2 linked regions of the Sus scrofa genome follow. The protein of the gene in region 1 binds, or shares a complex with, the protein of each later gene. Links are inferred from orthologs where the notes say so. Each region holds a gene or a part of one and is shown on either strand. Other genes may lie near its edges.

Evidence for each region.
Region 2: MED13 (region 1) and MED8 share a complex: the UniProt entries of both Homo sapiens proteins name them as parts of the mediator complex. The link is inferred for Sus scrofa from reciprocal best matches to the Homo sapiens genes MED13 and MED8.

The regions. Positions count from the first base shown.
Region 1 is NC_010454.4:36,413,682-36,417,333, reverse strand, and holds part of MED13 (mediator of RNA polymerase II transcription subunit 13), read right to left. Parts: coding exon 3,504-3,652; intron 2,157-3,503; coding exon 1,965-2,156; intron 1,749-1,964; coding exon 1,525-1,748; intron 1-1,524. UniProt on the Homo sapiens protein: Component of the Mediator complex, a coactivator involved in the regulated transcription of nearly all RNA polymerase II-dependent genes.
Region 2 is NC_010448.4:167,859,834-167,863,585, reverse strand, and holds the start of MED8 (mediator of RNA polymerase II transcription subunit 8), read right to left. Parts: upstream 2,224-3,752; 5' UTR 2,193-2,223; coding exon 2,115-2,192; exon of another isoform or gene 2,053-2,114; coding exon of another isoform or gene 2,047-2,052; intron 566-2,046; coding exon 447-565; intron 1-446. Other genes in the region: protein SZT2, read left to right, coding at 2,369-2,395. UniProt on the Homo sapiens protein: Component of the Mediator complex, a coactivator involved in the regulated transcription of nearly all RNA polymerase II-dependent genes.

The DNA.
Region 1 (3,652 bases):
AACCTACACCACAGCTCACGGCAACGCCGGATCCTTAACCCACTTAGCAAGGGCAGGGACCAAACCCGCAACCTCATGGTTCCTAGTCGGATTCGTTAACCACTGCGCCACAACGGGAACTCTGAGAGCTGTATGTCTTAACCATCATCTCATTCCTACTTTCAGTAAAACAGCAATTTGTCTTGTATTAGAAAGGTGGTATTATTCTTTTTCAATTCTTTCTCATCCTTCACAGATAAGCTTATTACTCTCTCCAGAGCTCACTTAATTAGCACAACTATCCCATTTTTTAAAAAATCAAAACTATATCAAGGAAATAAGGTATGAAATACTGCCTTAAGGTTTCTAAGATAGTCAATAAATCTTTATAACCAGTAACATAAAATCAATGTTTCTATACTGTTTCTTCAGCACCACTATAATCTAATATAATCATTAAATATTTTTGCATATAACCAACTTCTAAACTTAAAAAAACAGAACATCATATAATGAAGAAAATAAAGACTAGAACCAAATCTGAAAATTAAAAGTTACTTCATGGACTTTCCAAGTTCCCTTAGGCAGTGTTTGTTAGCCTTGAAATATGTTGTTAGAAGTGTCTACCAAGTGACAACTTAATATAAGGCTCACCTGTTGTGAACTATCAGTTACAGCCTTCATGAATAACTGGTCATATCTAACTACTATCAAGAAGAATTCTACACCAAGTTCTGGTAAAGATATTGGCTAACAGCATCTGTCATTCATTGCTGATAGGAATGCAAAGTGGTTCAGCCAATTTGGAAGACAATTTGGCAGTTTTTTAAAAATTAGTCATGCACTTCCCATAGGATATAACAATTTCTCTGTTATCACACAAGACAAATAAAAACATGTCTACAGACACACACAAAAAAGAATTCTACATGGACTTCTCTTACAGTGCAGTGGGTTATGGACCTAGCGTTGTCACTGCAGTGCCTTAGGTCACTGCTATGGCTCAGGTTAGATCCGTGGCCAAGGAACTTCCACATGCCGTGAGTGTGGCCAAAAAAAAAAAAAAAAGAATTCTACAAAGAAGGCCACTATTTTCAGAATATACTCCAACATTTTAGTGAAGCAAGACATTCTGTTCATTAGGGACTATATTTTTGATGGTATATAAGAAAGCAAATATTTGAAAATACTTTACTAGATTTTAATTTGCAGAGGACTTTATAGTTTCATGTTTCAAAATTTGTTAGGCTAAAATCATTACCTCAAGGTTTATAGCATAGAATTTAGGGACTTTAATCTTTTTTTGTCTACATAATAGAAATTAATCAAATTATTATTATAATTTTTTTTCATTGCACCCGTGGCATATGGAAGTTCCTGGGTCAGGGACTGAACCTGTGCAACAGCAGTGACCCAAGCCGCTACAGTGACAACGCCAGATCCTTAAACCCACTGTGCCACAAGAGAACACCATAAGCCATTTTCTATTCTTTAAAAATGAATTTTTTTACATTTTAAATGATACATATAAGGAAATAAAAGTACCTATTTGGGACATCAATGTTAATAATACAAGTTTCTAAAAGTTCTCCATATAGATCTGTGCAAGATGCAAGAATCCATCTTTGATCATGTGACAAACAGTAGCCCACAAAAAGTACATTATATTTCTGTCCAGCTTCTCCAAATGTTTCTCCTAGTTCTGTCTGTTTATCTTTCACTGGAGCCAGAATAAAAGGAGGTGTATAAAGTCGAATACACTCTGGTCTCTGTAAAATAAAAAATTAAGTTACTATGGCACTATATAATCATAGAAAAAAATTTTATTGAAGATACACACACACACACAAACACAAACACAGAGAGAGAGTGTGTGTGTGTAAGATAACTGAAAAATGAGAGCTAAACAGAGACCTGCATTTAGTTTGGCATAAAAACATAAAATGTAGTCATTCAATAACTTTGGTCATGGAAAACATACTTACATCAGGACTTTTAAGAGCAGTTTCCATGGCTAAACCTGGACCAAAACCAGTCAATGTTTTCACATTGGTTGATGTTGGAAGTGGTCTCCGACACTGAGTAAAGGCCGAAAAAGCTAGGGATTTTAAATGCTGGGTATAGATTTGTCTATCTTCATGCTTCACAGGTTGCAACAGGTACTGACAAGGAACAATCTGAAGAGTTATAAACAAATATTACAAATGTTAAGCTTTCAACAAGAGAATTAAAAGAACTATATGTCTAAAACTCTAACACTTTTAGTATGAAATTTAAACTAGGGAGTTCCCGTTGTGGTGCAGCAGAAACAAATCTGACTAGTATCCATGAAGATGCGGGTTCAATTTCTGGCTTTGCTCAGTGGGTCGGGGATCCGGCATTGCTGTGAGCTGTGGTGTAGGCTGCAACATGGCTTGGATCTGGCATTGCTGTGGCTGTGTGTGGTGTAGGCCAGCAGCTCTAGCTGTAGCTCCGATTCAACCCCTATCCTAAGAGCTTCCATATGCCTCAGGTGCAGCCCTAAAAGGCAAAAAAAAAGAAAAAAGAAAAGAAATTTAAACTAAATTTAGGATGATAATCTAATGAATTATATTTTCTTATCTATTATATAGATATTGTTTGTTTTTTAGGGTCACACCTGCGGCATATGGACATTCCCAGGTTAGGGGTCGAATCAGAGCTGCAGCTGCCAGCCTATGCCACAGCCACAGCAATGCCAAATCTAAGCTATATCTGCAACATATACCACAGCTCACAGCAATACTGAATCCTTAACCCATTGAGAGGGGCCAGGGATTAAACCTGTGTCCTCATGAATACTAGTCAGGTTTGTTACTGCTGAACCACAATGGGAACTCCTATGATATAGATTTTTAATAAACAGTCAACTTTACTAATGGAATATATAAAAATCTTTAAAACATTTCTACATAGTAGTTATACTGTTTAATACTGCCATTGACTAGTACTATTATGGTCTATAAGAAAAATTCAAATTCTCTGCAAACAATATGGCTAATTTCTCTCTACTTTTCCTGCAAACTATCTTATCTAGTACCCTAGCTTGTGAGTCCCTTTTTTTAAATTTAATTTTCTATTTATTTTGGCCATGCCCCTGTGGCATGTGGAATTTCCCTCGCCAGAGATCAAACTTATGCCACAGCAGCAACACAAGCTGCTGCAGTGACAATGCCAGATCCTTACCCAGAGTCACAAGAGAACTCCATGTCTGTTCTTAATTTTCCTAATTAAGCTTATGAATTTAAAAATTAGTTTAAAAAAGTAACACGGAGAAACATACAATGTACTCAAAGCAATCTTTTTGTTCTCTATTATTACTGCGGTATGATCACAAGGTTCTTTTATAAACTCTTTAAGATTTCTGTATTATAGTATCACTTAAAGTAAAAATCAATAGAACCTAACTTTTACAAAATCAATATGGATACAGAATAGTAGCTTTGAAATTTCTGTCAACATTAAAATGTTTTATATAAATTTAACTTAACATTTATCATTCTTACCTGTACAGAAACAGTACTCTTAATATGAGGAGGAAGAGTCTGGACCATTTCCAGAAAGCATCGAAGTAACCCCAAAGTCCACACATTGGAAGAATTAGTGCTCTCATCTTTATTTTCATATGTAAAAGGATCAATTATATAAACAACAA
Region 2 (3,752 bases), on another chromosome or scaffold:
TGACTGGGGTGAGAACAGCGGCAAAACAGGAACCATAGCTCCACTGTTATCACTCAAACTTCAGAAACTAGCTAAAAGCCTCCTTTCCGACCTAAATATAGGATCTACATTTTCAAAGTAGACTGGACCTAAAAGACTCAGCCACGTCCAAGGCAAGAGATCCCATATGAATACTGAAGTGGGAGGACCTCCTCCCAGAGACATCAGAGGGTGAGAATCAAAAGCTAGAAAGACCCTGAGTTGGAAAACTGGGCATTTCTCTGCTTCCTTACCAGGGAGGCCCAAAGCCAACTTCAGTGTTACACGTTGGGAAACTCAGCTCTTTTTAAATCAAAAGATGTTTGCAAACTGATAAATGTTTACATCACTGGCAATGTCCTATCCACCTGGTGACCTGGCCCCCCCCACCCATGGAGCCCTCCCCAGCTTGCCCTGGCATTGCTTACCAGGTCAGCCGGTCATACTCGTTCTCCAACTTGTAAATGAAACTCCCCAGTGAGTTCTTCAGATCAGCCACTTGACTCAGGAGTGCATCTAATGATGCCTCAAGCTGCTTCTCCTCCCTCTGCACCAACAGGAATAGGATGTTACTCAGATGAGGGTGAGGGTGGTGCCCACAGAGGCGGGCTGAAAAGCCAGGATGACAGTGCGCAACACCAGTCATGTGACACAGGATCTCACTGGCACAGGGAGAGCCAGGCTGTTTTCTATCTTTGGTATCAGGGTTATAGACAGCACCAACCCTCAGACCTTTCAACCCACTCGCCTGGCCTAATTCCTCCTACCTGCTGGTTCCTTTCTCTCATCACCCCTAATCCGTGCTTGGTTTCCTATCACATACACTATACTCTCACTCACTGAGCAGACACAGCAGACCTAATGCCTCGGGGTCATTATCTCTTGTGCCACTCTGCAGCATAGGTACTCTGACTTCTGCTGTCCTAAACCTGCCTTGGGAGCCTGGCTGTTCCTGCCAATGACACAATTTCTGAAAAATCTACCTACATGTGAAGGTTCCTTTGAACACCTGCCACTGCCACCACCACGGCCATTTCCCCCTTTCCTCTGTCCTCAGCATTTGCTGTTTCAAGCTCTTTGCTGAATTAACCGGCACTCTTTTTTTTTTTTTTTTTTTTTTTTGGTCTTTTTGCCTTTTCTAGGGCTGCTCCTGTGGCATATGGAGGTTCCCAGGCTAGGGGTCTAATAGGAGCTGTAGCCACTGGCCTGCGCCAGAGCCACAGCAACGCCAGATCCGAGACTCATCTGCAACCTACACCACAGCTCATGGCAACGCCGGATCCTTAACCCACTGAGCGAGGCCAGGAATCGAACTCGCAATCTCATGGTTCCTAGTTGGATTCGTTAACCACTGAGCCACGACAGGAACTCCATTAACCTGCACTCATTTTATCTCTGTGCCAAAATTCCTGTGCCCCTTTCACAAGCTTAGTCAAGCTATAAAAATTTACTGACAGACTACCAGGTGCAAGAAACTGACAAATGAAAAACAAAAACAAAAATGCACATGCCCCTAAGTACTAAACTATTTTAAATGCTGGTGAGGGGTTGTCTGCCAAGCATTTCCTGTCCATCTTGGTTCTTCATCTTTACTTCATTTCATCCTTAACTACCACAGGGCACAGGCTAGGAAGGAGGTAGAACTGCCTTGCGAACTCGCCAATATACAAGACAGTAGCCTTGATTCCGGGTTCCAGCCACTGGCCTCAGACTATATTAGTTTGGCTTTTGTCACTGCGGCCCCACAATTCCTTCCACTCTCGGGCTTCTCTCCAGTTATCGATCCTCTGCTGTGTCGGCAGCCAACAGCGGCCATTCAACAGCCCGGGCCGGGACCTGAGCCAATGCGGCACCTTCTTGAGCTGTCTTCGTTGGACTGCATCTTAACCTTCCCAAACGACCGACCCTTTCCCACCCCCAGCAAGTCGGTGCCGCCTTCCCCCTCCCAACTCAGGGGCCGTCTCGGTCTCCCAGCCGGGCTCCACCCCCATCTGTCATCAGTGCCGCTCCCTCTCCAGTGGGCCTCGCCTCCATCCCGCGTCCCTTTAGCCGTCGGCCGATGACTCTACCCACTCCTCTCAGCTCCAGCTCCTCACTTTCTCCAGCCCACTCTCCGTCCCGGTACCCCGACGCTGAGTAGCGGTCACGAGCGCCAACCCGGTCCTCACCTGCATCGCGGGAGCAGAGGTTGCGTCAACCACTTCCTTTTCCGGTTTCCAAGTCAGCCAATCAGAAAGTTGGGATTCGATCCTCCCATTCGTTTCCGGTTCCTTCGGGCGAGAGGCAGCCGGGTCAGGGGTCACGAGCAGAAGGGCTTCTCTGGCCCGGGCCGGCGCGGGAGGGCTGTGTGATGGCCTCGGAGCGCCCGGAGCCGGAGGTGAGGGGCGGGCGGGCGCAGCGCTGGTCCCCGAGATCCGCGGGGGAGGGGCCGGCGGCCGGGTGCGGCCGTGGCCTCCTCCGGGTCTGGGGGCGGCGGGGGTCGCCCCGAAGGCCCGGCAGTTGCATCTCCTCACCCCGCGGTCCGCACTTTCCTTGGGGGGCTGGAGGAGAAGCTCGTCGCTCTGTTCTGTTTGCTCAGATTTCATTCACGTCGCCAACTCTGGGGCCCTCGGGTTCTCCGACTTCCTAATGGTATTAACAAAGCCTTTATTTTGATTTTGCAATTTGATTTTACTTTGCTGGTGCTTCATATCTTCACGTATTAGAATGACATAATCAGCATGAATTAATTTAGTTCCAGCGCCATGATTTTGAAAGGCAGCTTCGGTTTCGTGGGGAAAATACATATATAGATTCTTTTTTGATTCGGAGTGAAACGTCGTTCACTTCGTTTGGTGCTGCCCTGTAGCCATCTCTGCAACTTCGGGCAAGGCTTGACTGTTTCCTGCTTCTTAAACACCTGTCTTAGGGTGTTTTGTGAGGATCCCATATTTTAAACCAGAAAATGCACATGAGGTATCCCTTAGTTGTTGAGGACCATGCAAGGAACTTGATCTGCATTGTGTTATTCAGACTTGTGCAAGGAAGGTGGCTGTGTCCACTTTCATTTATATGTAAGACACTGGAAAGTGAGAGACGTTAAGTACCTTACCCAAGTGCTACCCTCAGCCAGGGAGTAGCAAAGTTTTGAAGTTAGAAGATCTGGTTTGAAAAGAACATCACCAGGAAAGGTGCCCAGTATTAGAATATGATAGACGGGAAGGGTGAGAGACGTGTGAAATGAAATGACACAAAAGAGTTGTCATAACATATCGAATGCGTGCCGCGTCGTCCTGCTTTACCCCATCAGTTGATACCCTCAACCCGAAGAAGCAGACGTGATTATTTATCCCCATTTTTCAGTTGAGGAGACGGAGGCACAAAATGTTAAGGGTAACAAAGTTACACAGCTAGTTAAGTAGCGGAGCTAAGACTCCCAAACAGGTGGTCTGCTGTAGTATGGTGGTCATAATGTTTCCAGTATAAGCAGTACAGTTGCCACAGGATGGTAAATCTCCTGATCCTTGGCATGTGATGTAACAAGACCCAGGATTAAACGTGGTTGTAGGAAACTACCCTATTTAAAAGAATCAATGGCGGAGTAGCCTATGCATCAGAAATAGCAGTAATAAGAAAAATCCATGAAGGAATGTGGAGTATGTTTTGTTATGGATTAAAATGAGAGGACATGGAGCGATGTCGTAGTGAAATACAGCATACCTTTTAGACATAATCTAAAACAGCATTGTCTAATA